Linked DNA regions of Xenopus tropicalis. The protein of the gene in region 3 binds, or shares a complex with, the protein of the main gene of each other region. Links are inferred from orthologs where the notes say so. Each region holds a gene or a part of one and is shown on either strand. Other genes may lie near its edges. The genes, in order: cdh5, pten, pard3 and prkcz.

Region 1 (7,823 bases), on a different chromosome or scaffold from region 3:
CAGCTCCTGCTATACTTGCTAAGTGAACAGAACTGTAGTGGTCCTATATAAATCCTACATGAATCATCAATCAATACCCATTTAGTGAAACATGTATACTGGGGATAGAGCACTAAGGGCAGAGGAAATACACTAAAACATCCTTTACAAAAAGTGTCATACCCTTTCTGTTCCTTGTAGAGTGCTGCAGCTTATTTACAATATTCCCAAGCCTAGGCTCACTGCTGTATTGCCTATGCACCCTGAACCCTCTGTAATCCGGATGTAGTGCCATAATTTAAAGGGGTTAAGGGAAACATTTATCTACTTATTTACTGTGGTTTCTGTTAGGATCAAGCCATGTCACACGCAGCTGCCATTTTTAACAGACGGCTATTTTAGGGAGATGCGACTAACAGATATGCATGAGATGTGTTAGATGGTTATGACATATCTACATTGGGATTTTGAGCATTTACCAGCATAGATAGTGGCGAGAGCACCAGTTCTTGTTAACTACAGTTTAGTTTCCTGCTTTCCTTTTGAAGAAAAACAGGATATGATGGCGCTTCCACAGAGTTCCTGCTCTTTTGTTGTATACTGAGCATATTTTTTGCACCGTGCAGCATTCTCTATACACAATGAGGAAATTCCAGAGATATTGTCGTCATTGAAACCTTTACCACTCCACTCTGAATCTATTATATTCACATTGCAAAGAAATTGAGTCATTTTAACTGGAGCTTGAAAAGAATCATCTTATAACCGAACCAAGTAATGCAATCACTAACAAAAAAAACAAAACGAAAAAACCCACCCTCTTACTGTACTTGTAATTAAATCTGAATTCTGAATTACATTGTAAATATGAATCTGGAAAAGAAAACACACATAGATGCAACTTTTTGGTGCCCCTGTTACTAAAAATAACAATTTGGCTTCTGATAAAAACATAATTTCCATCTGGACAGCATCACAAAGACAAAAGCCCCCTTGCTCTTCCCTCCAATGTCTGAATTTCCACAGGGCTTTCCATTCCACAATACAGTGCATGCATAGCTCATGAATACATTACTGCCTGTAATCAACAGGGATGGGCAGGAGGGAGGCAGTTAGTTGTCTTGGCCATCCCCTACCCTACCCCTAAAGGTGGCCGCTCACGTGGCGAAGTTGCCAAGCAAGCAGATCTTCTCCTGATATCCCCACCTACGGGTGGGTTTATTGGGCCAATTCTGTTGTTTGTCCTTGGGGCCAAACGATCGAATTAGAACAACGGATCGAATTAGAACAAGCTGATGCAGTCCCCTATCCGACTAAAAATCAAACCTATCCAATCGAGATCTGCCTGATTTCAGGCCAGATGTCGGTCGGGCAGGCCTGTCGTTAGTGCCCCTTAACTTACACTTTATTCAGATATACAAGTTAGGGAGCACTAGTGGTTAACCAATTTTAAGCCAACAACAATGGCAGTTACAATATTGATCTTCTGTGGATGGTAACTTTACATGCGACTGTTGATAAAGACTGCCCAAACAAATCCATAGAAGCTATTGTTAAAAAGTTAACTTTAGTAAGCAGGGCCCTCTGATACTATTTTTATTGTGTAACACTTATAAATTAATGTAAACTGCTGTGTAACTTGCTGCCACTGTATAAACAAATATGATGATAATGATGATCAAGGGGTCCATCCATAATGGTTATCCAATAATTATCCAATACCGAGGGCAGTCAATATGTTGGACGTACCACGAGACAGATCTGAGCAACTTATGGTAAAAGGGTCACATGCTGCTTTTCTTATAGGCTTGACTGTATTTTGCTCATCTTATTGTCACCTTTGCCACTGGAGATTTCCTAATTTGCCTTAAAAAAAGTCTTCAAAATCCTAGAAACCCTATGTGTGTGTTACAATTTCCACTCATTTATTGTGCCTTTACCAACACCACTGCAATCAGCCCAGTTCCATAGATCCCATAGAATCACAAGTGCTAGATAAGGTGAGATCCCACAGTGCTCAAACGGGACATGATTGAGTTAGAGAGGGTCCATAGAAGGGCAACTAAGTTGGTAAAGGGTATGGAAAGTCTCAGTTATGAAGAAAGACTGGCCAGGTTGGGTCTGTTTACACTGGAGAAGAGGCGCTTAAGAGGTGACATGATAACTATGTATAAATATATAAGGGGATCATATAATAACCTTTCTAATGCTTTATTTACCAGTAGGTCCTTCCAACGGACACGAGGGCACCCACTCCGTTTAGAAGAAGGGAGGTTCCATTTAAATATTCAGAAAGGATTTTTTACAGTGAGAGCTGTGAAGTTGTGGAATTCCCTCCCCGAATACATTATATAGCTTTAAGAAGGGGCTGGATGGATAGCAAGTGAGGGAATACAGGGTTATGGGAGATAGCTCTCAGTACAAGTTGATCCAGGGACTGGTCCGATTGCCATCTTGGAGTCAGGAAGGAATTTTTTCCCCTCTGCGGCAAATTAGAGAGGCTTCAGATGGGGTTTTTTGCCTTCCTCTGGATCAACTAGTAGTTAGGCAGGTTATATATAGGCATTATGGTTGAACTTGATGGACGTATGTCTTTTTTCAACCCAACTTACTATGTTACTATGTTACTATATAACTCGTATTAACTGGAGTAGCCTTATGTGGCTCATAGAGCAGTGTGGCACACTCTTCATCTGTAAGGCCTTATGTAATCATGTTAGCACAAGATTCATGTGTTTTGTGAAAGGTCAGTAGCCTGTTATTCACTTAGAGGAAACAAGGCAATCTATTTCTTGTTGGATACAAGTAGAAGATCTTATATTCCCATGTCACATAAGCTTAAGTGGGATGCAATGTATGTACCTTTCAGGTGTACCGTGTGTAGACTGTTCTGTGCAGTGGGGCATTTCATTAAAAGCTTTTAGGGGGCCCTCCTGGGGCCATAACCTCCATTACCTATTATTTGCTGGGGTTGTATGCACACTATATACAGGCAGCTATTATTAGATTTCTGTGCTGTGTAACACTAGTACTTTTCCTTACCTAGTGCTTATTATTTATTAGCCTATAGTAGTGCCTTCTGACATTAGTAGACGTTTGTAGGGTTAACTGCATGGGTCAGTATGAACAACCAAGAGCCCGAACTCTCTTAATTGCCCAATGCTTCTAGGTACCATTGTGGGCATTCTAGTTCATAAGCAAGTAAATATGTTTTTGACACTTGCCAAAGGTTTATCGTTGCCCAGGTCACTAGCTCCCACAATGGCCCCACAGGACCAGCTCAAATCTCTTGAAGTGATATTTATTCTTAGACAGACACATCATTATGTTTGTATAGTCACAAGTGTGAATCCCTAATGGTTTCACCTTTTCAAGAAAATCAGAGAGGCTTTGTGAGGGGTTGGAAGTGAGAGGAAAAGTGGTAAAAGGGAATGGAAACAGAAATTGTAATTTATTTGTATTATTATAATTATCCTTTGTTTACATGACTGACACATTCTGCAACATTTGATAGATCACCATACATAAGTTCCTGCTGCAATAGGGGCTTTCAATCTAAAATCACCAGGGCCAGTTTCATCAGAAGCTAATTAACATTGCTATATGTGATAAATGAATAAAATGTACTAGTCACACTGTCAAGTAGGGTTTACCTTCACTTGAAAGCATCAACAAAACTGTGCCATCAGTGGAAATGATCGTGCCAAATGACAGAATGCATTTTACATAATAAAAACTTTAGGACAAACATCTCTCAGAATACAACATTTATTGTTTTTAAAACCCCAAACTGGCCATTGTAGTTTTGATTTATTAGGTTTTTAAATGTAACTTGCCCACAATGCACCTGCATCCACCATAGAAATGGTAGCCCCCACCAGTGAATTTTCTGTGTTGAGAGCATCCTGTGCCTTATTCTTCCACTGAAACAAAGGCAGGATGTACAGTATATAAGGCCCTGACTAACCTATGTGTAATAGCTGTTTGTAGAATTTAATAGTTAAGATTGGGATTTTGTAAAACTTTAATAAAGGGACATATATAAAATATTCTCATTTACCTTGAAATATTAGACTATTCTAGCTTTCTACTCATGAGAAGAACTAGGTAAAAATCTAACTGAGTTGTGTTTGGTTGCATTATTAAGAAGATGATGATGATGATGAGTGCACTGGGTTTGCACAGGTTTTGAATATGTTCTTGTTATGTCAGATCAGATTTTGACTGATAAAAAAGTAAACCTTGTATACCTAGAGGTCTGTCATAAACTCAATATATGTTTCTGCCACATACCCAACAAACTCATTCTTTCCTTTTTCTATAATGCTCTAAAAACATAATACACCTTTACTGGTTCTCTTCTAGTTAAATTCCACAAGAAAGATGAAATTCACTTACCTAAGTCAAAGTTGTGAGAGACCTTGCTGACAAAATGTAAAACTTCAAATACTTAAAAAATCTGTAATAATCCACAGGATACCAAATCACACACGGATTACCAGGCTGGTGTTGGATAAATGCAGGAGTTTAACAACAGAATGTCCAATTCTGGAATTAGTACAGCTCCCACCCTACAGACTTCCTTCCTCTTATTGTTCTACACATTGCTGTTGCTTGAAACTTTTGTAGTGAGTGGAGGAAGCTAGATAAACTTGTGCAGACTAGAACGCCAAATAGAGTTTTAAAGTTTGCTTTTGTTGCCTGTCTATTGAAACACTTTGGAGATTCTGGAGAACCTTTGTGGCAGCCATATTATTTTTGGAGTATTGAATGGTGGGTCATATAAGAAATTTGGCACCAGTGAACAGAAAATAATTAAATGTATAAAGGGTAATTTACTATGTGGAAGGCAAGGAGCAACGTGGAACAAATCGGGACTTATCTCCTGTCCTATGGCAGCAGAAAGAACGTGACTGGCCTGCTCCTACCAAAGCTGTGTTCTGCAGCCAGGGCAGCCAGACCCTGGATGGCAGTGTTTTCTGCTAAAATACTAAGGGACATACCCCTTAGTGCTCTTGTACTTCTGTCTGGGATTTTCATAAATGACCCCTATAGTTTACACTTTGCTCATGCAAAAACACATTGCATAAAACATTATAAAAAATATTCAATTTCAGTAGGAAAACCCTAATTCAAACCCTGAATAGACCAATAGATTTTTTAATGATTTCTCACATTAAAAACAATGAGATACATTTTCCTCTTTAAACTGAATCTGCCCTGATGTCACACAACATACCCTATGAAATCAATTACATCAGCAATCAAATGGGATAACTAAAATGACCATCAGGTCTTAACCTCTTACGTGGACAACTGGCAGTACAGAACTTTTGATACAATTATTTAAGAACATTGTTTCTTCAAGCATACTTGTGAGGTTTGATATGATATCTTATTTTCTCTTATCGATATAATCATATATTCATATATGCGTGTACTTTGGTAACTTTGATACACTTTGATGCTTAGCATATCAGGTTCCATTTTAGAAATGTATCTCCATTTTGTAACTGCAAACAGCAGGCTTGAACATCCCATAATAGTTGTTTTTCCCAAATAGTACCCTTGCATGGCTTGCACCTTGCGAAATATACGGTTTGAAAAACAACATAATCTTATCTGTGCGCTGATGCATCTTTTTGTCCTCCTTAAATTCCTGTCCTGCACCTGCCATCCTTGAATGGCAGCCTTGAAGCTAATGAGATCCTATTCTATTTTTTATAATAAATTCCTTTGTATCTGCACATACACCAAAGGTATAAAAGTTATGAGCACGTAAGAATAAACTGAACAAGTTTGAACTTCCATTGTGGTTGTGTCCTTCTTGTTCCCGTAATTACGTCTTTGTCCTGGCAGGAGGGCTCCCTTATGTCCCTACACTTACAGTCTGCGGTCAGGAACCCTAACAATACTGTATACATATGGTCCTGTAGTATGGACCAAAATAGTTGTTAGTACAGGTCTACTTAGGAGTATGAGCAATTGTTTGCATGGATTTAAGAGCAAATGCACACCATTGGAGTAGAAACATTTTTTGGGGGATTTTTTGATAATGATGGTGTAAATATTATCTTTCTCTATATTCTGTTTATCTATAATCCCAAAGGATTACATGTGGCCCCTTGGCCACAGTGTTTTTAGATAGTTGGCAGGATTTAATCTATTTTCTGTAGAGTATTGCTCTGAGTGATTTTTGAGTCTACTTACTGATCCACCCAGGCTGTGGGATTATTTAGAAAACATGTTCATTTTGTGAATTGTTAAAACAGATTTTGGGAAGTATGATTTACAATGTATGCATTTAAAAGTAAATATAGCTTTTGCTACCCTTTGGCATTTGTCTTCTTTGTGCCAAATATATCCCTTTTGTGTTCATAAGTCCTGTGTGCGCAAATCCTTCTTTTGCTGTATGTATATATATATATGTATAAAAGCCAACATCTGCAATAATGCTAGTTCTACTAACAGTTTCTTCTAAAGTTGCCAACAGAGTACAAGCCCACAAAAATGTTTGCATAAAAGCAAATTAGTTTTGTGAGATAAAAATGAAAAATAATAAAAATGTGCTTTGCAAATATTAGTAAGTGTTCTGTACAGGAAAGTTTCCAGAGGGCTAAAAAGTTTATATGTAGCATCTAATTTTAGGGGAAGCTATATGCAGTTTTGCTATGGATACAAGCAAGGCAGCTACAACTACTTTGGTACATAGGTAAATCAGTCTTTGGGAGTATATTGAGTTGGGCTGTAGCTGCTGCTTCAACCCCTGGTTCAAGACAGAAACATGGCTGGTTAGGGTTAGACATGACATTATACTGCTGCTTTTTAACTGAGAAAGCCATGACTTAAAAACAAATTTTGAGACCTATCAAACATAAAGCAGTGTATAGCATTTGCCTGCCAGTCTAAATGGCTGCTTTGTGGAATGATAATTTCATGTTTACCAGAAGCTTAATGATTCTCAGAACACCATATGTGCAATAATGTTTATGTATTTATATGAATATATAGAGATGTGCCTTCCTCCCTAAAAATAGTATAAATAGCACAGATGTTAGCAGGCTAGTAAGTACCTTTGCTTTGTAGGTTAGTTATTACAGCCGTGCAGGTTTGTGCTGTCCCAGATACATCTTAATGACTTAGCTTGATGTACCCCACTGGCAATAGCCTCCACATGAGCTGACCCAAATCAGGTAGGTCACAGTTTGAGGCAGACAGGACACTTCTTTCCTCTCTGCCTTTGTACATTTAGATCCAGCAGGAGGGACTTGACAGTAAACATAATGGATTATATCCTCAGAAAACCTCTGTCACTGCCACTTGTAATTCTTCAGCTAAATCCTTAGTTCATTATTACAAAGACTATTTATGGTAAATGAAGAATGAAAGTGGATTTTACAGTGTATAAAACTGTGTCTATAATTTTCTCATAACTCCCAGTTTATGCCCTAGGATGCAGATGGTTCAGATGGCAGCTGAATACCCCACTGGTTTATGCCAATTTATGAACTTTAATAATGTGGATTTGGATGTTCAGTGCGAGTGCACAAAAACACCCTTGTTCCTCCCTTAGGTTTGTTTTATCAGCAGGTGCTAAGCTGAGCTGAACACTTTATCTGCCTGCATACAAGCCCATCATTTTTATGGGAAAATAGGTGGCATATTTATCAAGCAATATAAAGAGCACATTTAGGTTACCTTCTGAAAGACCAATACTCTCATAAATGCACCAAGCTATACATTTGTATTAGAAACAAGTCCTAATCATGATCCAGTAATGATATTTCTAACTCATTTCATCTCACCTGTAGCTTGTAGTTGGAGACTGAGTGTGCAAAAGGACT
Region 2 (7,084 bases), on a different chromosome or scaffold from region 3:
AGTGCACACATGCCTGTAGATAGATACCCCTGGCAGAAGCCGTGCAGCGTAGCTGGAGCTGCGGCGGTGCCATAGGATTGTGTAGCCAGAGAAGCAGGTGGGTGAGATTTTCCTGTCCCGCTTGTAAACAAGGACAGTTATTCTTTCTATTTGGTAACTAGGCAATAAAACCTGATCCATTCAGCCGGGTGTCAAGGGCCCTTTAATTATGTAAATATCAATTATTTTCCCCGGGCATCTGATCCCTTTGCATCTGGTAACCCCCCCTTTATAGTAAAAACAGTTTTTATTTTCTGCCAAGATGCAAGCCATGCACATATATATATATATCTACAGTATCTCCAATGCGGTAGTAGAATTCAAACAGGACTTTGTTCCTACATAAATGAGAAAAAAATCCCCTCCCCCAACAAAAGCTGACAGTCTCTCTAGTCTAAGGCCACATTTATGCCTGCGCCGTTTAAAGTAAACTTTTAATATGTTATAAAATGTTCTGTTTCTAGAAACTTGGTCTGTATTATTTTTTCTACTTTTTTAAATTATTTGCCTTCCTCTCTTCTACATCTATTGAACTTTCAAATGGCAGTCAGTGACCCCGGCAGCTAGAATGCTATTGGTCTGTGATCTTACAATGTTGTTTTAACTTTGTTTCTTATCTTTCTATCAAAGCCCCGTCATTATTCATATTCTTAGCTGGTTGCTAAGATAAGCTAGACCCTAGCAACCAACTAGCTGAACGTCGGCAGCTCTATAAAAGTAATGAGCCTGATCCAACCCCTGTCATAGTAGTCGGTACTGTGGCACCTGTTATCCAGAATGCTCGGGACCTGGGTTTTACGGATAAGGGATCTTTCTGTAATTTGAATCTCCATACCTTATGTCTGGTAAAAATAATTTAAACATGAAATAAACCCAATAGGGCTGTTCTGCCCCAATAAGGGGTAATTATATCTTAGTTGGGATCAAGTACAGGTACTGTTTTATTATTACAGAGAAAAGGGAATCATTTAACCATGAAATAAACCCAATAGGGCTGTTCTGCCCCCAATAAGGGGTAATTATATCTTAGTTGGGATCAAGTACAGGTACTGTTTTATTATTACAGAGAAAAGGGAATCATTTAACCATTAAATAAACCCAATAGGGCTGTTCTGCCCCAATAAGGGGTAATTATATCTTAGTTGGGATCAAGTACAGATACTGTTTTATTATTACAGAGAAAAGGGAATCATTTAACCATTAAATAAACCCAGCAGGGCTGTTCTGCCCCAATAAGGGGTAATTATATCTTAGTTGGGATCAAGTACAGATACTGTTTTATTATTACAGAGAAAAGGGAATCATTTAACCATTAAATAAACCCAATAGGGCTGTTCTGCCCCCAATAAGGGGTAATTATATCTTAGTTGGGATCACGTACAGGTACTGTTTTATTATTACAGAGAAAAGGGAATCATTTAACCATTAAATAAACCCAATAGGGCTGTTCTGCCCCAATAAGGGGTAATTATATCTTAGTTGGGATCAAGTACAGGTACTGTTTTATTATTACAGAGAAAAGGGAATCATTTAACCATGAAATAAACCCAATAGGGCTGTTCTGCCCCCAATAAGGGGTAATTATATCTTAGTTGGGATCAAGTACAGGTACTGTTTTATTATTACAGAGAAAAGGGAATCATTTAACCATGAAATAAACCCAATAGGGCTGTTCTGCCCCCAATAAGGGGTAATTATATCTTGGGATCAAGTACAGGTACTGTTTTATTACAGAGAAAAAGGAAATAATTTTCAGTAATTAGAATGATTTGCTTATAATAGGCCATCTCCCATAGACTTTCTGTAATTTAGAACTTTCTAGATAATGGGATTCCAGAGAATGGACTAGTTTGTTTACTGCCCTATATTGCAAATGTGAATTCAGCATTGTATGGTGAATTTACATTGTGTGTATACTATACATTGTTAGTGAGGTAAATGGCGGCAGCCCAGGGCATCGGCAGAAAAGAAGATGGGAAGCTACTGGGGGCATCAATATTGCTAATGGGCTGTTGTGGCCTAAGGCTAGTACACAAATTCCTTTAATAATGGACAACTAAAGCCTAACAAAGAACAGGCTAGAAATGCAAAACATTGATCACCATGGGCCAAAGAAGCCGGGCTTGTATAGCAGAGTTTCATTCCAGTAACTACAACCCCCCCCTCCCCAATAGTCCTAGTTAATAGGGCATTGCCAAAATATGTATATGTCATTTTCTTTATAAACTATAACATGGGAAAATGCTTGCAAGACCTCTAAGAATAGAGGCTGGGGCCCTACTCCAAGGGATGATTATAAGCAAATAAACCACATCTTTTAAATCAGCGTTTTTCAACCGCTGTTCCGAGATGTTGCCTGGTGTGCCGTAGGCAGGGCCGCAATTTTTACTTTAAAAAAAATCCGAGCCCTGTCATTGGTTGCGCCCCGTGTGTATGGGTGACGTCAGTACGCACGGGGCGCAACGTTATAAAAGGGCCTGTGTGCGGTCGCGTGTAGGCAGAAGTGCAGAGGCGGCGCGCGTGAGGGGAAGATGCTGCTGAAGCCGCCGAAGAGTAAAATGCTGCTGGGCACCAATGTATTAAGGGGGGCCACGGGGCACACTGACTTATGGGGGCACTGCTGCTGGGCACCAATGTACTAGGGGGGCTGGCTCTTGGCACCAATGTACTAGGGGGGCACTGCTGCTGGGCACCAATGTACTAGAGGGGCACTGCTCTTGGCACCAATGTACTAGGGGGGCACTGCTGCTGGGCACCAATGTAACAGGGGGGCACTGCTCTTGGCACCAATGTACTAGGGGGGCACTGCTGCTGGGCACCAGTGTACTAGGGGGGCACTGCTGCTGGGCACAGAGTTAAATTTTTTAACATTTTCTAATGGTGGTGTGCCTCGTGATTTTTTTCATGAAACAAGTGTGCCTTTCCCCAAAAAAGGTTGAAAAACACTGGTTTAAATGATACAATGGTGCAGACATCAGATCTCTGATGTGACATTAAGGAAGACACACAGAGTTACTAGTAGCAGCTACTTGTCACGGCTACTAAATGCCAGAAAATCCCCTGCCATAGACAATACTGAGAATTGCCTCTGCTAAAACACACGTAGAGACAATTATCAGTAAATGATCAGCATTGTCTGTATCTGTAGCTGCTACTAGTATCTGTGTGTCTTCACCCTAGAACAACAGGCTTTTCTTTCTCAATAACCTGCTTTCCTTCAGACCAACTAACAACCTCTCTGTATTCTCCTAGATCCCCAGTTTGTCGTTTACCAGCTGAAAGTCAAGATCTTCACCTCAACAGCAGGTCCCAAGCGCATCGAGAAGTTGATGTATTTTGATTTCCCCCAGCCTTTGCCCGTTTGCGGGGATATCAAGGTAGAATTTTTCCACAAACAGAACAAAGTGATGAAAAAGGTTAGTGTGGCTTATTTTTTTTCTAAGCAATGTTATAAATATGTTCACACACGGTTACACAACAACTGCACAAGTGTCCATTTAGGGTGAAGAGACACGGAGCTACTAGTAGCAGCTACTTGTCGTGGCTACTAAAATAGACAATGCTGATTATTTACTGATAATTGTCTCTACGTGTGTTTTAGCAGGGTCAGTTCTCGGTATTGTCTATGGCAGGGGATTTTCTGGAGTTTAGTAGCCATGAAAAAGTAGCTGCTACTAGTAGCTCAGTGTGTCTTCACCCTTACGGCGTTGGATTTCTTGCCCCTGAAGACTCTGGCAGCTTTGGGTACGGTGCCCTGGCACAAACGTGGTGCACACACACTCATAAAGAGAATGTCTGGTCCATTTATTCCGACTAATATTCCTGTTTAATCTGTATGGCGATGTGAACGTTTGCATCTGGGACGTTATTTGCATCACGTGTAGCTGTAATTAACTATAAATGACCGGCTCTTATCAGCCATACCTCTGCTCTGTCACTTGAATTAAATATTTACACACAAGCTACTTGCAAGTACACCCTGTGAAACAGAGCCACACACTAGTTTAAGGCTGAACCCTGACCTGTGGGAACGAACGCCAGCTTCATCTCTCCTTGCCTTCCCATTGGTGGCTCATGCGTGAAGGCACTGTGGAATATTGTAGGTTTTTTTTTTATCGTTTGAGGAAGAAAGGAATCATAAAAAATAAAGCAAACTGTTCTTCCTTTGCAACAAAGTAGCCTTTATCTGACAGCATTGATTATCAGTTGATCATTTACACTTGTGGCACTGTAGACTAAACATTGGGGCTGTGGGGCATGTACTTTAATCACAGCTACTTGTGATAGCAAGTCACACACGGGGCCGACTCTCAGGCTGCAGCGGGGGCTGTTTCTCTTCCTGCATTTAAGCACAGCCACTAGCCAATGTCTTTATACCCCCCAGTCACAGGGCATTTTTTATCTTTTCTAATAAGTAGTCCTCTGTTCTTGCCATTGGTTTCCTTGGGAACCACTGTTAGTCAATCTGCTGTGTGCTACAGCGCCCTAAATGTTGACCGCACTATTTATGCTTTTGTATAACTGATGGAATTTATTTACACAGGCAAGTAGGCCCTTGTTTATCTTACACGGAAATAAGGTTTGGATTGGAATAAGACGTTTTGCTTTTGTAAACTTGTCAAAAAAGGCAAATAATGCAACATGTGGGAGTTCTGAAAATCTCCTGTTCAGAAAAACACACACATATATAATATAGTTAAGTTGGGTTGAAAAAAGACCAAAGTCCAACAAGTTCAACCCTTCCAAATGAACCCCAGTGCACATATAGACAGTCTTACCAACCTATCTATTCAACTCACATTAACTATATATACCATTCTCTATACCAGCTGTAGATTATACAACCGAAATAGCCTTTTCATTGTTTGTTTATTTCATTGCTTGTTTAAGAAATCGCCCAAAGCCACACTAAAGCTAATGTCCTACAGAGTGATTTAGTCATCTGCTACCACTGGTGACTAAAATGCCTTTCCAATCGCCAGTGGAAAGGCTTATACATTGCGGAGATCTATCTCAGGCAACTAAGGCTAATGCACCACTGGGAGATCAGTCGCCCACCATCAATCTCTGGTACCTTGGGCAACTAATCTCCCAAAAAGCATTTTCACTGGCGCAGTGTTTCCTTCTGCAGGCAACTTCGAGGTTTAGGCCTTTTCCATTTATTGCTGGTGGGAGAGCTTTTCGGGGAGATTAGTCGCCCACAGTAGTAGAGATTTATCATGGGCGATTAATATCCCCTAATCTAAAGGCATTAATTGGCAGAGCAGACATCTTATCAGTGCTCTTTGGCCTATGGCACATGGGGCATTTTATCCCCCACTGCCCACAGACAGAGGCGCAGACAAAATGCCCCTCTCCACCTGTCATTAATCCAAATACTACAGGATAAAAACGTAAAGCAGTGACATGCAGAGAGGGCCATCTGTTTCAGCTCTGTGTGCATTGAATAGGGCACATTCAGTAGTAGTCTCCGTAATGACAGATGTGGGGGGGGGGGTTGTTTGTCCTCCGCTGTTCATCAACTGGGGGCAGTGGTTGACAAAATGCCTGATGTGCAGTTGGCTGACTAAAACATCTCTTTGGCTTTTTGTTTGATATCGGCAATGGACTCTGTTGGTTACAAAGTGTTAAAGTACTTGTGCGTTCCACCAGTGGTCAGTCAGACCTCGTGACAGCTATCCAGTGTTTACTTTAGAGCCTGTAATGTTTGTAGTTCATAGAAACCAGTTCCATTGTATCAATGGAAATAGCCATTCTGTAGTGCTGGAGAGGGTCTAATTTGCAAGGGGTCAAATGCCATTCGTGACTCCCCACACACCTACAAGAGGCAAATATTCCTTATAAATGACCGTTACTTGGATGACTCGTGTCCTCTACACACACAAGCCATACCTTTACCAACATGGCCACTCCTGGCCCAGTCCACAGCCATACCTTTACCAACATGGCCACTCCTGGCCCAGTCCCCAGCCATACCTTTACTAACATGGCCACTCCTGGCCCAGTCCCCAGCCATACCTTTACTAACATGGCCACTCCTGGCCCAGTCTACAGCCATACCTTTGCTAACATGGCCACTCCTGGCCCAGTCCCCAGCCATACCTTTACTAACATGGCCACTCCTGGCCCAGTCCACAGCCATGGCTTTACCAACATGGCCGCTCCTGGCCCAGTCCACACAGCTCCTTTTGAATACTTTTTCATTTTTACGAAGCCATTGAAGGTTATTTCCTGCAGCACTGTTTACTAAAAAAAAAATTGTGTTTTTTGTTTTCAGGAAAAGATGTTCCATTTTTGGATAAACACATTCTTCATACCAGGACCGGAAGAGTATTCAGAAAAAGTAGAAAATGGAACGTTAGTCGGGGAGCAGGAGCTTGATGGCATATACAGTACAGAACGTTCAGATAATGACAAGGAATATCTCACCCTCACTTTAACTAAAAACGACCTAGATAAAGCTAACAAAGACAAAGCCAACAGATTATTCTCTCCAAACTTCAAAGTAAGTACCCAAAGCCTTGTTTGATGGAACGCACAAATGTACTGTACCCTGCAGCCAAATGGCTGGCATCTGACATACCCTCCGAGGGGCGCTTCAGCTGGCATTTACTGAGCTACATGCTCGGCAGGAATCCTCACTGCCAGCTGACTGAACTGCAATACATAGCATTGCGACCAATCACAGTGAGGCTCCCCTGGTTGCAGCAATTGCACAGAGAGTTCTCCATTACCTGCCTACAGTAGCTGTGATTAGTAGTGATGTGCAGAGTGAGAAAGTCGCCCCTAACCTGCCCACTTCCTACCCGACCCAGCTTCTGCCCTGTATTTATAGGCCCGCGTCCATCCCACCCTGCAATGATGTCACAAAACTGAAGGCAAAGGCTGGTAGTGTTAGGTCGTGGGCAAGCTTCAGTACATTGCTATTACAGGTATGGGATCCATTATCCAGAAACCTGTTATCCAGAAGGCTCGAAATTACAGAGAGGCTATCTTCTATAGACTCTCTTTTTTGATAAAATAATTAAAATTTTTTTTAGAAATT
Region 3 (7,517 bases):
TCACCTACGGTCAATTATTTGCACACAAAAAAGTCAATCAGATTTTTATGCACAGGGTTATTCGCTGCTTGCTGATAATCAGGCACATAAGAAAACAGATATTGGAATCTCTTAATTCTGTCCGGCACTAATGGCAAAGCATGTGGATACTTGTTATGTACTTGACATAATTTAGAGGACAGAATCCATAAACATACAAAAATTCCTTCGCAAGCACAATCACATATGTAGTTGTTGTTTACCTTTACATGCACGTGACATTAGTGCATAGAAGTAAGGCCACTGATACAGCGAATTATTTAATAAACTATTTTAAAACATGAACAACCCAAATTCAAGTGTATTCTTTATGATGTTCCAAGGGTTACACTACACAAAGCAGCCCCAATGCATCTTTATCTGTAGAAGTGGGTATGATGTTTCAGTCCCTGCAGGAAGATCAGGGGAGAAAATGAGTGTATTGATCCTTTTAACGGCAATCAAAACCCTGCATGTGTCATAGCTTGGCTTATCCTATATACTGCATTCAAGTGGTTACAAACAGAAACTGTATATAACAAGAGTTGCATTAAGAGGGTATCCACACAAAGGACTGAGAAAGATTTTTTTAGATCAAGAACTTAGATTGTAAGCTCTACAGGGCAAGGACCACCTTCCAACTGTGTCTCATACCACAGGGCATTTAATGTCTCTCTATTTATACTTTTTTGTTGTATTTATTATGACACTTGTCCTCCCTGTGTGTAATTGTATATATTGTACAGCGCTGCTTATCCTTGTATCGCTTTATAAATAAAGTTATACATACATACAAATACTGAACAAAATCAGACCTCAGATGAGACAGGCAGCCAATGGTCCAGCTCCTGTGAGTGATAACTCTGTGACCCCCAGCTTCCTCTGCAGTGAAATGACAGGAAATATTTGGTTTAGGTTCAATTGGCCGAATATCACCAGGAATCTCTGGCTTCATCCAGATCCCCAGACAGAATCCTGGGTTCTGTTTGTTCCAGCTTGTTACGAATTTGGAAGCAATCACGCTGCGCCACAATCGGTCTACTTTATTTTCCCTCCACAACAGAAGTTTTCAAGGCTCAACAGACAATTCTGCCTCTCTGCCAGCTAAGCCGAAATGACTTCTTTCTGACCAGCAGCATTCCAACTCGGCCAAACATAAACAAAACAAGAAGTTGTCCAGTCCCGTGACCAATATTCAGTATGATAGGAACATAGTTTAAATCAGTGGGCTCATTCTTCTAGCTTGCCAAGTGACTACAATCTCATCCCACAACTTTAGAGCTACTTTGCCTTTTTTTTCACCATGCCACACATGCCCACAGCCAGGCCTCACCCATTAGAAACATCCTGACCATAATTATAATGAAGCCACATACACAAGAACGCTTTGACAGTGCTTGCCCTCCGCTTAGGTTTTTGCCGGCAAGTTGCCAGCCAATAAAATGAGTACTGGAGTACCAAAGAGAACTAGAGTGCATCTGCCACAAGTACACCCTATAATGTGAAATGTGAGCATGTTAACTTCCCAAAGTGCCAACTGCATGCTGATAATTGTAATAAACAGGGATTTAGTTCCATGAAAGCTTGGCAAATAGAAACCCCACACACATTACAATAGGCTGGACGTTTATATGAAATTCACACAAATGGGAAAACTATGGAGCCCAGACATGTATACAGGAAAATAGGGGCAAGGAGTTACAGAGCAGTGCCCATAGGCACGCATGTAACAAGGGGCAAAGAGTTACAGAGCGGTGCCCATAGGCACGCATGTAACAAAAGGCAAGGAGTTACAGAGCGGTGCCCATAGGCACGCATGTACCAAGGGGCAAAGAGTTACAGAGCGGTGCCCATAGGCACGCATGTAACAAGGGGCAAAGAGTTACAGAGCGGTGCCCGTAGGCACACATGTAACAAAAGGCAAGGAGTTACAGAGCGGTGCCCATAGGCACACATGTAACAAAAGGCAAGGAGTTACAGAGCGGTGCCCATAGACACACATGTACCAAGGGGCAAGGAGTTACAGAGCGGTGCCCATAGGCACGCATGTACCAAGGGGCAAGGAGTTAGAGCGATGCCCATAGGCACACATGTACCAAGGAGCAAGGAGTTACATAGCGGTGCCCATAGGCACACATGTACCAAGGGGCAGGGAGTTACAGAGCGGTGCCCATAGGCACACATGTACCAAGGGGCAGGGAGTTACAGAGCGGTGCCCATAGGCACGCATGTACCAAGGGGCAAGGAGTTACAGAGCGGTGCCCATAGGCACACATGTACCAAGGGGCAAGGAGTTACAGAGCGGTGCCCATAGGCACACATGTACCAAGGGGCAAGGAGTTACAGAGCGGTGCCCATAGGCACACATGTACCAAGGGGCAAGGAGATACAGAGCGGTGCCCATAGGCACACATGTACCAAGGAGTTACAGAGCAGTGCCCATAGACACACATGTACCAAGGGGCAAGGAGTTACAGAGCGGTGCCCATAGGCACACATGTACCAAGGAGTTACAGAGCAGTGCCCATAGACACACATGTACCAAGGGGCAAGGAGTTACAGAGCGGTGCCCATAGGCACACATGTACCAAGGAGTTACAGAGCGGTGCCCATAGGCACACATGTACCAAGGAGTTACAGAGCGGTGTCCATAGGCACACATGTAACAAGGGGCAAGGAGTTACAGAGCGGTGCCCATAGGCACACATGTACCAAGGAGTTACAGAGCGGTGCCCATAGGCACACATGTACCAAGGAGTTACAGAGCGGTGCCCATAGGCACACATGTACCAAGGGGCAAGGAGTTACAGAGCGGTGCCCATAGGCACACATGTACCAAGGGGCAAGGAGTTACAGAGCGGTGCCCATAGGCACACATGTACCAAGGAGTTACAGAGCGGTGCCCATAGGCACACATGTACCAAGGAGTTACAGAGCGGTGTCCATAGGCACACATGTACCAAGGAGTTACAGAGCGGTGCCCATAGGCACACATGTACCAAGGGGCAAGGAGTTACAGAGCGGTGCCCATAGGCACACATGTACCAAGGAGTTACAGAGCGGTGCCCATAGGCACACATGTACCAAGGAGTTACAGAGCGGTGCCCATAGGCACACATGTACCAAGGAGTTACAGAGCGGTGCCCATAGGCACACATGTACCAAGGAGTTACAGAGCGGTGCCCATAGGCACACATGTACCAAGGGGCAAGGAGTTACAGAGCGGTGCCCATAGGCACACATGTACCAAGGAGTTACAGAGCGGTGCCCATAGGCACACATGTACCAAGGAGTTACAGAGCGGTGCCCATAGGCACACATGTACGAAGGGGCAAGGAGTTACAGAGCGGTGCCCATAGGCACACATGTACCAAGGGGTTACAGAGCGGTGCCCATAGGCACACATGTACCAAGGGGTTACAGAGCGGTGCCCATAGGCACACATGTACCAAGGAGTTACAGAGCGGTGCCCATAGGCACACATGTACCAAGGAGTTACAGAGCGGTGCCCATAGGCACACATGTACCAAGGAGTTACAGAGCGGTGCCCATAGGCACACATGTACCAAGGAGTTACAGAGCGGTGCCCATAGGCACACATGTACGAAGGGGCAAGGAGTTACAGAGCGGTGCCCATAGGCACACATGTACCAAGGAGTTACAGAGCGGTGCCCATAGGCACACATGTACCAAGGAGTTACAGAGCGGTGCCCATAGGCACACATGTACCAATAAACACCCAGCCCACCCTTGCTCATGTTTAAAGGCAGTTGTGGGATTTCTACTGCAACAACTGGTTGGGTGTCTGAAGTTGCCCACAGTTCTGGGGGACACCCCCATTGAAGGACAAATAATGGGCTGCTCCAGTAAAAGGAATACCCCATTATGTGTCCTTGAAGGGGGGAGTCCCATTAAGCAATGCAGAACTTCAGGCTCCCAAGCAGTTGTTGTGTATAGGCGGTATCACCGCAATATATAGAACTAATAGTGTTCTGCTGGCCGAGCTCCCCTGCTTGCAGAGACAGGGCTCCCTAATAGATTTCCCACGGTTCCACCTACCTTAGCGATGGCCTTCTTGTACCTGGTCACCGCTTGCTGGATGAGGCTGGAAACTTTCAGGTTGCCGTCCCCGCAGGGCACCACGACCCGCGTCCTCCCAAAGCTCACCGTCACCTTCATCCTGCGCCAAAAACCCACCCCGGGGTCTTCCCGCGCCCCAGCCCAACGCAATTAATCCAGGGTTCCCGTGTTCCACTCCGTGCCCTCCGGTGTATGCAGGGCCTGCTACCGCCTCCTCCCTCTACACTGCATGTGAATGCCAGGCTCCTCCCACACTTCTCCGGCAAGCTTGTCTGACCGCCGCCAACACACCCAACCCCAGGTGAGAGCCAACGTGCTTTCACCAATCCGAGCGCTCCCGCTGCTGACAGACAGCCGGCTAAACCTATCGCATGTACGAACAAAGTGTTGTGTCCGGACACAACATTTTAAATCTATTTGTGATTGGTCAGTTCTATAGGGCTGCAGGACTGAGTTTAGTATTGAAAGGAGCAGTGCGGGGGCTAGTTATTGTGTGCTACAGATGTGACTTCGGGAGTCCGCGCTTTTATAGTATTGCTCATAAGGATGCCTCATACTTTGTAATGCGGCTCGGAGTCTGCGAACTGGCGGCCAAGCAGCTACCTAACCAAATATAGCCTATAGTTCAGCCTGTAGCCTAAACTTATTGTTCATTTACTGCCGTTTGTTATGTTTTCTTATCTCTTCACAGGCTGAAGAAATTAGTTGAGGCTACCTGGGGTAATGTTACACTTTTAATTCTCTGATGTATGTAGGGTTCCCCAAAATTTGGGTCCCCTAGGATGGTTGCCCCAGGATAGACCCCAGGGAGGGTAACACTTTAGTAGTGGGACACCTTGGGTGGTTTGGCACTATAAGGGTTAACTGGGATTTAGCTTCCCTGCAGTTCAGTAGTTAGGCCACAGGGTGCACACAGTATATAAGGCTGTGCAGCCATGTGCCTGCAGGTCTTATGCCTGGGACCCCTCTGGCTAGAGGATAGTGACAGGCTGGGTCTAGTGAGTTAGATGTGTGTCATAGACCATTCTAGGAGTGGTAGACAGGATTATTTAGCTGGGCAGCTTGGCCCCACCAGGAGGCAGATGAGATTAAGATCTCCCAGCATTGATAGCTGGAGTCAGGGATACAAGAGTGAGGAATAGGAGTTTGCCTAATCTGGGGGATAGCCGGGTGATATTTCCGGAGTGAGGTCTCCAAGGGGTGTCCGCTTGGCGGGAGTACCGGGAAGTGCCCTAGAGAGGGGCTTCTGGCGAGAAGTACCGGAGGGAACCCCAAAGGGAGGGTCATTTGGCTGGAGTGTTACCGGTATCCCAGGAGAGAGGGACTCCTGAGGGAAAGAGAAAGTATCCTGACATATCCTGTGTATCCTGTATGCCAAAGCTGTCTACCACTCTGCCAATAAACACAACACTTTGTTCAGCATTACATCAGTGTGTGTGTATCTCTCCTGGAGGATCCACCTGCCTGGTAAGCAACTACCCCAGGGAGGGGGCAAGGTGCCAGGAGTGCTGGGAGTCCCCACAAAGGAGCAGTATATTAAGTCTCAGGAGGGGAGTTATAGTTCAGTCTATCCCTATCCTGGGTGGAGGCACGCCAAAGTACAAAGTAATAGCTGTTCCCCAAAGTAAGCGGGGCTCAGGACTCCTGGAAGCGCCAAGTATAGTGACATATCAGCAGGTAGTGCCACAACTGTTTATAAAGTGGGCTACATGTATAAGAATGCAAGCAATACAGAATGTATTAAACAGTGACATTATGTTAAAGCTACTTGCTGATGTAATTGCTACTGAATGCCTATCAGCTGCTGAGTCGGACTCCTGACCAATGGAGCAGAAGCCAGCTGATTGGTACACCCTTCATGTGAACTGACTTTCAGGCTGGAGAGAGGTAAAACAAGAAAAAAAAGCACAATGAAAGTTAATGCAAGTCTCAGCAATTTTCCAATATATTTTCAGTGGCTTTAAAGGAACAGTAACACCAAAAAAATGGAAGTGTATAAAAGTAACTAAAATATAATGTGCTGCTGCCCTGCACTGGTAAAAGTTGTGTGTTTACTTCAGAAAGTCTACTATAATTTATATAAATAAGCTGCTGTGTAGCCATGGAGGCAGCCATTCAAAGGAGAAAAGGCACAGGCACATAGCAGATAACAAATAAAACACTATTGTATTTGACAGAACTTATCTGTTATCTGCTATGTAACCTGTGCCTTTTTTCCAGCTTGAATGGCTGCCCCCGTGGCTACACAGCAGCTTATTATATAAATTATAGTAGTGTTACTGTAGCAAACACACCAGTTTTACCAGTGCAGGGCAACAGTGCGTTATATTTTTATTACTTTAAAGCTCTTTCATTTTTTAGTGTTACTGTTCCTTTAAGCTAAAAGCAGTGTTTGCTTATCCCTTTCTGGTCTGTAAAAGAGTTTGGTTTTTCTCTAGGACTTATGAAAGGGGACGTATTGTGTTAAAACAAACACAAATGTACCAGTGTGTTAAACTTTGTTAAATGTAAAAGGAATGTGCTTAAAAAAACTTATGTTGTAGGCTGATTTATTGAAAATTTCATTCAAAAACCCTACAAGTCCCACCCATCTATTTCCGTGATCTGCCTCAATCGGGCACAGAGAATTTGCTTCTGCAATGATTCCAAAATTCTAGGGGAAAGTGGTGCATTGTGGGGAAAAACTTGATTGCGTTTAAAATTGCACTTTGTACCACTGCATCCAGCTAAGTGAACGCACCCTTGAGTGTTAGTTGTGTGAAGGTAACGCACTGTGCATGAAAATGCCCTTAGCACTGCATACATATCAAAGTCCGAATTTTAGATCTTTTTAAGTACAATTGGCAAAAATTTGTATTAATAACGAAAACTTCCGATGTGCGTTAATTTTGCGAAGATTCCATATCATGGTCGTACGAAAATATTGTGGTATGATCCAAAAGCTACAAAATTTTCGTGTCCGAACGATCGTAAACAGCGTGAAAACCTTTCCGACTTTGATCCTTCAGTGCATGATTTTAGAAGCCTCCCATAGGACACAATGGCACTCTGCAGCTCCAACCTGGCCCAAGGAAAGTCTCCCATAGGGCTCAATGGCACTCTGCAGCTCCAACCCGGCCCAAGGAAAGTCTCCCATAGGGCTCAATGGCACTCTGCAGCTCCAACCTGGCCCAAGGAAAGTCTCCCATAGGGCTCAATGGCACTCTGCAGCTCCAACCCGGCCCAAGGAAAGTCTCCCATATGGCTCAATGGCACTCTGCAGCTCCAACCCGGCCCAAGGAAAGTCTCCCATAGGGCTCAATGGCACTCTGCAGCTCCAACCCGGCCCAAGGAAAGTCTCCCATAGGGCTCAATGGCACTCTGCAGCTCCAACCCGGCCCAAGGAAAGCCTCCCATAGGGCTCAATGGCACTCTGCAGC
Region 4 (7,686 bases), on a different chromosome or scaffold from region 3:
ATGTCAAGAGTGCAGTGACATTTAGCAACTGTAAAATAGAAAGTGATTGCTATACCTGAGGCATAGAGGCAGGGAAGGCAACAAAAGATTGAAAGACGGATTTTTAAATACATTTGTAACAGGTACAGGTATGGGATCCATTATCCGGAAACCCGTTATCCAGAAAGTTCCAAATTATGGAAAGACCATCTCCCATAGACTCCATTATAAGAAAAAAATTCAAATTTTTTAGAAATAATTTCCTTTTTCTCTGTAATAATAAAACAGAACCTTCTACTTGATCCCAACTAAGATATAATAAATCCTTATTGGAGTCAATACCAGCCTATGGGGTTTATTCAATATTTAAATGATTTTTAGCAGACTGAAGTTATGGTGATCTAAATTACGGAAAGATCCCTTATTCGGAAAAGCCCAGGTCCCATACCTGTACCAGTAAAGATGTTTCAATAAGAAAATGGGGTTTAAAATTTACTTTGAAAAGGGGCTTTTATTATGTGGGTCCATTTTATATCCTGGACACAGAGCTATAGCAATTCTATGCTCAAGTTGTAAACTGTGACCAAGGTATGTAGCACATTGCACCTACTACATTTACGGTTTACTAGAAGATACCAAGGGAAGCTAGATGCAAGTGCTTCAGGGTTGAAGTCTGCTCTCACATGTGTTTATGGGAGACACTAGCAAATAGGAGATTATTTACAGACCAAGTTCATTTGCAAAGCACGGTCACCATACAGAGAACTGAAGGTCTACAGGTGGACCATTATGTGGTAAATTCCTCAGGAAATTAAGAATTTGCATCAGTCCCAGCACCCAACCCATATCTGCTTACCCTAAGCCCAACCCACACCTGCTTTCTTTCCCACATGCAATTCCACCCAACCCACAACTTAAATGGTCCCCTGTAGCCCACCTCAGTGCAGCTAATAGGGTAGTTGTGGGCCATCCACACATTGGGGACATCAGGTATGTTCCGTCCCCATCCCAACATATTCCGCAGGTACCCTCCCCGCTGCATGACTTTACCTGATGGAAGAGGAGCACATCAGTGTTCAAATGCAATCCTCATCCAACAGGATTTTCAAAGCAGGATCTTCCAGGGGCCCCATACATGGGCTGAAAACTTGTGTATAAACATGAACGACTAGCTTAACTTGTAATAGACTTATCAGATCTAATTCCTGATTGACTGCTCTTGGCAAATTAGCTCCTATGTTAGTATATAAGACTCAAAGTAGTAGATCATTTTTTAATTAGTAGGTTATAGATTAGCCTATTCTTAGCAACTTTTTAATTGGTCTTAAATTATACCTTCTAGTTCTGCCTGTTAGACAGCAGTAGGCTACTACAATCTGCAATTGCTTTTCTTTTTTTTTTAATTTAGCTTTTGTTTAGCAGCACTTCAGAATTTAAGCAGCAACATGTTTCTGTAGTGTTGCTAAAGTAAATTGAAAGCTAGCAACCATAAGGCAATAGAAAGACTGAGAGACAAACAGGAGTGGGCCCCACAGAGCAAAGGGGATTTTGGCTGCTAGAGTCTCTACCTCCATTTGAAAGCTGGGAAGGAGCAAAAAAGCTACAGCTACTAACCGGCCTCCCTAACTCCAATCTCTGCCCCCTACAGTCTATATTAAATACTGCTGCCAGAGTTCACCTCCTCTCATCCAGGAGAGTTCAGGCCCTCCCCCTGCTAAAGCCCTTATTGTGGCTTCCTATTAAACAAATAATATCTTACAAACTCCTTCTCTTAACCTTCAAAGCCCTCCATTCCTCTGCTCCTCACTACATCTCTTCCCTTGTGTCTCCGTACGTTCCCGGCCAACTCCTTCGTTCCTCGCAGAGCAATCGTTTGGCTGTGTCCCCCACTACTTCCTCAACAGGAATTGGATCCAGCCAAATCCACGTGTCTGGCCAAACCTAATCTGTATCCTTAAAATCACGTGACTTTTTGTCACAAACATAGAAGTTGAAAATTTTTCACCAAATACAGTTCTCTTTAGCCCCTGCATGGCCTAATTTTCATATGCAAATAATTATTCAGATCGGATTAGCGAGGTTGCCAATTGAGCGGATCTTCTCCCGATATCCCTACCTACAGGTGGGCGATATCGGGCTAATTCGAATTAGATTGGCGGGTATATGCGCAGTTGGTTTGGGGACCGGATTAACAAGCTGATGCAGTCCCCAATCCAACTGAAAAATCAAACCTGCCTGAATGAGATCTGGACGATTTCATGCAAGATGTTGGTCAGGCAGACCCGTCATTTGTGCCCACACACAGGCCGGTCTAAAGGACCAATATCAGCAGCTAGAATCGGTCCATGTATGGCCACCTTTACTTTAAAAACATACAGGGCTCATTAAACCATCCATAGATGTAAAAGAGCTTGGATAACATCATATGTGAAGCATACATGTATAAATCTTCCTTAATCATACACCCAGAGCCAAATAATTATTAATAATATAATCTAATATTTAATAACAAACAACTTACATATTGTTAGAATAAAAACAGTCTCTGCATAATTTGCAAATCACCTTAAACTGTTTATATTAAATACATTTTTATACCACAGCGTTTTTCAACCACTGTTCCGCGGCACACTAGTGTGCCGCGAGATGTTTCCTGGTGTGCCGTAGTACCAATGTACTAGGGGGGCACTGCTCTTGGCACCAATGTACTAGGGGGGCACTGCTGCTGGGCACCAATGTACTAGGGGGGCACTGCTCTTGGCACCAATGTACTAGGGGGCACTGCTGCTGGGCACCAATGTACTAGGGGGGCACTGCTGCTGGGCACAGAGTTAAATTTTTTAACATTTTCTAATGGTGGTGTGCCTTGTGATTTTTTTCATGAAACAAGTGTGCCTTTGCCCAAAAAAGGTTGAAAAACACTGTTATACCACATTCAGAATGTAAAAGGCAACCTGCCAATTGTCTAATGTGTGATGCGGAAGGAAATAGAGGCACTCTATGTGAGTAACTAAGCAATCAGTAGCTAGTTATTAATCAGTACCCTAACCAGTTACACAGCATTCACAGTGACATAGGACAACAATATCTGTTGCATTACTCTTTTACTGTGAACTTCTTCAGCCTCCATAATAAACACAGAATGAGCTTTCCCAGAGGTGAATTGCTTTCAGCATGAAACTTGGTCACAAAAAGCTTGTATTATATGGGAAATAAATATTCATTGTGAGTATGAGAACTTCCCCTTCACAACTGTTGTCACCACTCTGGGGCACAATCATTGCAGTGTTACTGGTACTAAAGTGCTTTACAGCAGCTCTAATCCGGCCTCTACAGGAATTCAACAATCACTAGGTAACTTCAGCAGGTGATGGAAAAGCTGAACTGCAGCTCCCAACCAGTGCTGTCATTTTAGCTCCCTACAGGAAGCCAGGTGATCTCTATTTAAAGAAACAGTAAAGAAATAATGATGATGATGATGATGATGGGAGCTAGGAAGCTAGGACACCGGACACTTGATACACACACGTATAGAAAGAAAATACCTGAGTCAGCCTGTCCCTTACCTGCAATACTGATACACACACTTCCTTTTAGCTCGGCTTCTCCACTGAGCCCGATCAGCTACTCCCGGCCGTAACTCCAGCCGATATCCCCACCCCCCGGTGTAACACGGAATCGGAGGACGAACATTACGGAGCCGAGAGGGAGGAGATACAGGAGGCGTCACTGGACAGCGGATACGAGAGGGTTAATAAGTACCAGCTCGTCTAACCCTGTCACAGTGCAACAACTCCAAGCATCCCCTCACACCTGCGCACACTGACCCGCCTCTTTAGTTGCCAAATTCCTGGCGCTACCAAACAGTTGCCTGTCAGCGCCGCTGGCAAACAACTCCCCGGCTAAAACTCAAGAGTCTCTCCTTGCGAAGCACTTCGGACTCTCGAAACATGGCGGAGTAAACTGGGTGTTAGTGGCAGCCAATAGCAGAGCTCTCCGATAGCTCTCCAGCAAATCGCGTGCTCGTATTGAAAATACAGTGTCCAATTACACAGGCCGGCCAAAGGTTAGCTGTCCAATGCAAGACGAATGTTAATTACCTGCCGCAGGACTCAAGGGATTAACCAATAGGGACAAAGGAGATTACACCTGCAGCCAGTCATACACTGGGAAAGGGAAGCAAGGCTATAAACCTGTAACTGAGTAACAGGATGGATTGTAGGGAGCTGTCACTATTCTGAAGGAATGTGCGCGTTTATTGTTGAGTCACAGTGCATTGCTGATTGTGGAATTCACCTGTTGTAATAAAACATTACCTGGGCGTGTACAAAAAGGAGCGCTAGTGTGAAAATATGCATGACCATTAGTAATTATACAATAAAAGAACGGAAACGCTGTAAATAGTCACTGAGATGCTCTTGGCTGGCAGGTTGCTCTGCGAAACTCAATTTCGTTTCTTAAACGTCGTGATAAGTGTGCGTGTAAAGGTTTTAACAGCTGCTCACTAGTATTAACAACATTATAAAATGGTTCCAACTATAACCAAAATATTGGAGGTTAGACTCCTAACAAAGGGCCAAACTTGTCTCTGTGGTATTCTGTTCTTTCCATGCCTAATTGCCTATTATGATGCTAAAACTTATAGCGTTCGATATAGTAAATGGCAGTTCTTAGTATATCTTTCCTGTATGATTCACATGGAAAAGTATCTGTGAGGAAGTAAGTGCTCTAAAGGTGTTATAGTGTAGAGTGCAGTAGCCTTATTATTAATATTAATAAAGTGCATAACATTGTTCAGGAAAAAACCAGTAATCCATAGAGAAGGAAAGTGCTTGTGCCTGGTATTTATTCTGAATGTGCTAAATTCAAATAACATTTTCAAATTCAAGTTAATATGCAATGTTTTGAAAAAATGCCGGATTGAGGTTGAGTTTGGTAGAGTTAAAGAAAATTTACACTTTAGTAAATATGCTTCCATATGTCTTATAACTCTTCAAGTTACCTGTGTGGCATTGATTTGTCATCTACGCATCTACATTAAAATTTGGTGAAACAGGTTAGTGACCACTCCGAGGAAACATTATTTTTATTGGATAGAGCTAATCACTGATGCATTGCTATGTGTTACTGCCTACATAAATATTTGTCCAGTGTTTAGTACATAAGCTCAGGTGAGTTTTGTGGCACACTATAAAGCAGGGCTCGAAGTAGGGGCACCTGCCTATTGCACAATGGTAGGGGCCGATAGGCCTCTCATCCCCCCCCCCCCCCTCCAGTGTTTGTCAGCGCGAGTTCCCCTCCGGGACATCACCACATGGGCAAGGTGGCCCAGTTACAAAGCCAATAGATGAGATACTAATGCAGAGGGTAATGCAAGGAGTGAAAGCCTGGTGTATTGGTCACAATAACTGCATACTTTGCCTGATGTTGGGTATGTTTTGCTTGCAGAATGTCAGGGTATCAACAGTAAAATATGGTGGATCATTTGTATAGGTTTAGGCAGTGATCCCCAACCAGTGGCTTGTGAGCAACATGTTGCTCACCAACCCCTTGGATGTTGCTCTCAGTGCCCCCAAACCAGGTAGTTATTTTTGAATTCCTGACTTGGTGGCAAGTTTTGGTTGAATAAAAACAAGATTTACTCCCAAATAAAGCCCCCTGTAAGCTGACAGTGTGCATAGAAGCTATCTAATAGCCAATATTAGCCCTTATTTGGCACCTCCATGAACTTTTATGATGCTTGTGTTGCTCTCCAAGTCTTTTTACATTTGACTGTGGCTCACGAGTAAGAAAGGTTGGGGACCCCTGTGTTTAGGGAACCTTTTTCTCCTAGCCTGTTTAGCACATAGCAGCATAGCATAATTGTAGGTACCTGTCTCGGATTGGTTTTACCCAAAGTTGCCCTTTTCACCGTTATTCATTATTTGAAAATAATTGAATTACCAGTAGTCTCACAGAATATAATGTGAGGTCCCAAAGGGGTGTTTTTACAGCAGACACTTTTCTATCATTGTACCCATCCAATCTACTTCTAGGGCCTTATGGCAAAAAGGCACACAGCTTTACCCAAGGAGACACAATGGGAGTTCTGAAAAAAGGCTTCTCCCATATTGGGACCCAGAGGTGAGGATTCCAATGGGAAAGAATCTAGTCCTTGATGTCATGGTTGCATGAGAGTCAATAACCAATTAATAATTAAGTTTAATAGATGGATCAAAGGTGTATCCATTAAAAGCACACAACTGGTGCTGCAGAAAAACTGAGAGAAATATAAATAAAAATCATGTTGCCAAGGTTATTCTTTACAAGAGTTGTTTCCACATGAGTTTCTATTCAGATGCACAGTCTCAATAGTCCATCAAATTATTTATATAATCAATAAAAACATAGTTTACTTTTTATTGACATTGGAAAAATATTTAGGTAATGTATCATTGTTTTATTATTCTGGGAATTATGCCATTTCATATAAAGAATGTGTTCAAAGTACAGTTGACTTACTTGACATTAGTCAATCTTTCTTATCTCTGTGTTTATTGCACTGGTTTTCAAGACAATTCAAAAGAGATACACAATTTCTGGTTTTCTGCTATTTTTGTCTGGTTTTTCACAAAAATTATTCCTTCTGCTTGTGTCCTTCAATGAGCATTATGTAGGTGTTATAATTCTTATACAAACTTCTCTGTGCTTTTGTATTTCTTTCATCCTTTCCTTGTCATTCCTATTCTCGCGTCACTACCTTCAATCTAATAAAAAATTATTTAATTTATATGACAGAGCCTAGGAGCTGTAATGTGGAAGGTTAAAATTATTGTTATGAAAAGCAGCTTCTATAAAAAAAATCCAGCAACCAAATCCAGCAATTAACTGCTAAAAAAATGACAACACTGTTTAAAACAAAAATAAGTAATCCGTGGTACCCATTCGACAGATGGAGAAATGGGAAATGTAATAAATATTCAGTGGTCACTGTGCCTATATTAATTATACAGCTAAGGCGGGAAGCAAGCCTAGACACATTATAAGGCACAGTGATCATAGGAGCTGGAGTTTGCCATCCGGAATGGAAGTGAAAGTCATCTGCAATATCTTAAAATTTATACAAAATTAGGATGATGCTTTTTAGAAAGGTGCAGTACTAACACTATTAACACAACATGCTCCTTTAAGCACCAATGAACACCAATGCCTACTTCAGCCTGAGTCAGGGTTCCATCGGTTGGTAGCATTAACAGCGGCAACTGACTTGTAGTGAATCAAAGGCTAATAAACACCATGCTGTCACATTAATAGAACAATCTTTGCCACATATATAGTTAACAAAAAATGTGCAGCTGAAGAGATAGTCACATCAGAATCAACCCTCTGCTGATCCTTCACTTCTGCATAGTGCTGGGGGGGGGGGTCAGTGACCCCTATATAATCACTTCAGTTGCTTGTAATTTCCTGTCAGTCTGACATTGCTTCCTGTGCCTCTGACAGAGTGCTGAAAATCTAACATAACAGTATGCTAGATTTGTGATATGTTTGGCTATGCTATTGCAAGTGAAAAATTAACCAGTGACCTTTCAATTTATGCAACTACAAAATATTTACTCATATACTACTTAATATTAGTTAAAAAATATATATATATGTATTTCAATCCATTAAAGACAGTAGCCACCCCATAGATCTAGCCTAAGTACAGAGACATGCAACTAACTG

What was found.
Region 1: the proteins of pard3 (region 3) and cdh5 are in contact, whole or in part, in an NMR structure (PDB 2KOH), measured with the Mus musculus proteins. The link is inferred for Xenopus tropicalis from reciprocal best matches to the Homo sapiens genes PARD3 and CDH5. Residues at the interface, in NP_296369.2 of Mus musculus: Ala599, Gly600, Leu601, Gly602, Val603, Ser604, Val605, Lys606, Gly607, Arg609, Lys611, Lys622, Ile625, Asn655, Gln656, Met659, Arg663, Met666; in NP_033998.2 of Mus musculus: Tyr774, Gly775, Asp777, Gln779, Glu780, Glu781, Leu782, Ile783, Ile784.
Region 2: the proteins of pard3 (region 3) and pten are in contact, whole or in part, in an NMR structure (PDB 2K20), measured with the Rattus norvegicus proteins. The link is inferred for Xenopus tropicalis from reciprocal best matches to the Homo sapiens genes PARD3 and PTEN. Residues at the interface, in NP_112514.1 of Rattus norvegicus: Ala599, Gly600, Leu601, Gly602, Val603, Ser604, Val605, Lys606, Gly607, Asn608, Arg609, Ser610, Lys611, His614, Lys622, Ile625, Met659, Leu662, Arg663, Met666; in NP_113794.1 of Rattus norvegicus: Asp393, Glu394, Asp395, Ser398, Gln399, Ile400, Thr401, Lys402, Val403.
Region 4: pard3 (region 3) and prkcz share a complex: the UniProt entries of both Homo sapiens proteins name them as parts of the par polarity complex. The link is inferred for Xenopus tropicalis from reciprocal best matches to the Homo sapiens genes PARD3 and PRKCZ.

The regions. Positions count from the first base shown.
Region 1 is NC_030680.2:57,817,236-57,825,058, reverse strand, and holds the start of cdh5 (cadherin-5), read right to left. Parts: upstream 4,524-7,823; 5' UTR 4,378-4,523; intron 1-4,377. UniProt on the Homo sapiens protein: Cadherins are calcium-dependent cell adhesion proteins. They preferentially interact with themselves in a homophilic manner in connecting cells; cadherins may thus contribute to the sorting of heterogeneous cell types.
Region 2 is NC_030683.2:12,941,492-12,948,575, reverse strand, and holds part of pten (phosphatidylinositol 3,4,5-trisphosphate 3-phosphatase and dual-specificity protein phosphatase PTEN), read left to right. Parts: intron 1-3,291; coding exon 3,292-3,455; intron 3,456-6,316; coding exon 6,317-6,544; intron 6,545-7,084. UniProt on the Homo sapiens protein: Dual-specificity protein phosphatase, dephosphorylating tyrosine-, serine- and threonine-phosphorylated proteins.
Region 3 is NC_030682.2:21,707,345-21,714,861, reverse strand, and holds the start of pard3 (partitioning defective 3 homolog), read right to left. Parts: upstream 4,387-7,517; 5' UTR 4,198-4,386; coding exon 4,078-4,197; intron 1-4,077. UniProt on the Homo sapiens protein: Adapter protein involved in asymmetrical cell division and cell polarization processes. Seems to play a central role in the formation of epithelial tight junctions. Targets the phosphatase PTEN to cell junctions.
Region 4 is NC_030683.2:91,510,997-91,518,682, forward strand, and holds the start of prkcz (protein kinase C zeta type), read right to left. Parts: upstream 3,906-7,686; 5' UTR 3,546-3,905; intron 1-3,545. UniProt on the Homo sapiens protein: Calcium- and diacylglycerol-independent serine/threonine-protein kinase that functions in phosphatidylinositol 3-kinase (PI3K) pathway and mitogen-activated protein (MAP) kinase cascade, and is involved in NF-kappa-B activation, mitogenic signaling, cell proliferation, cell polarity, inflammatory response and maintenance of long-term potentiation (LTP).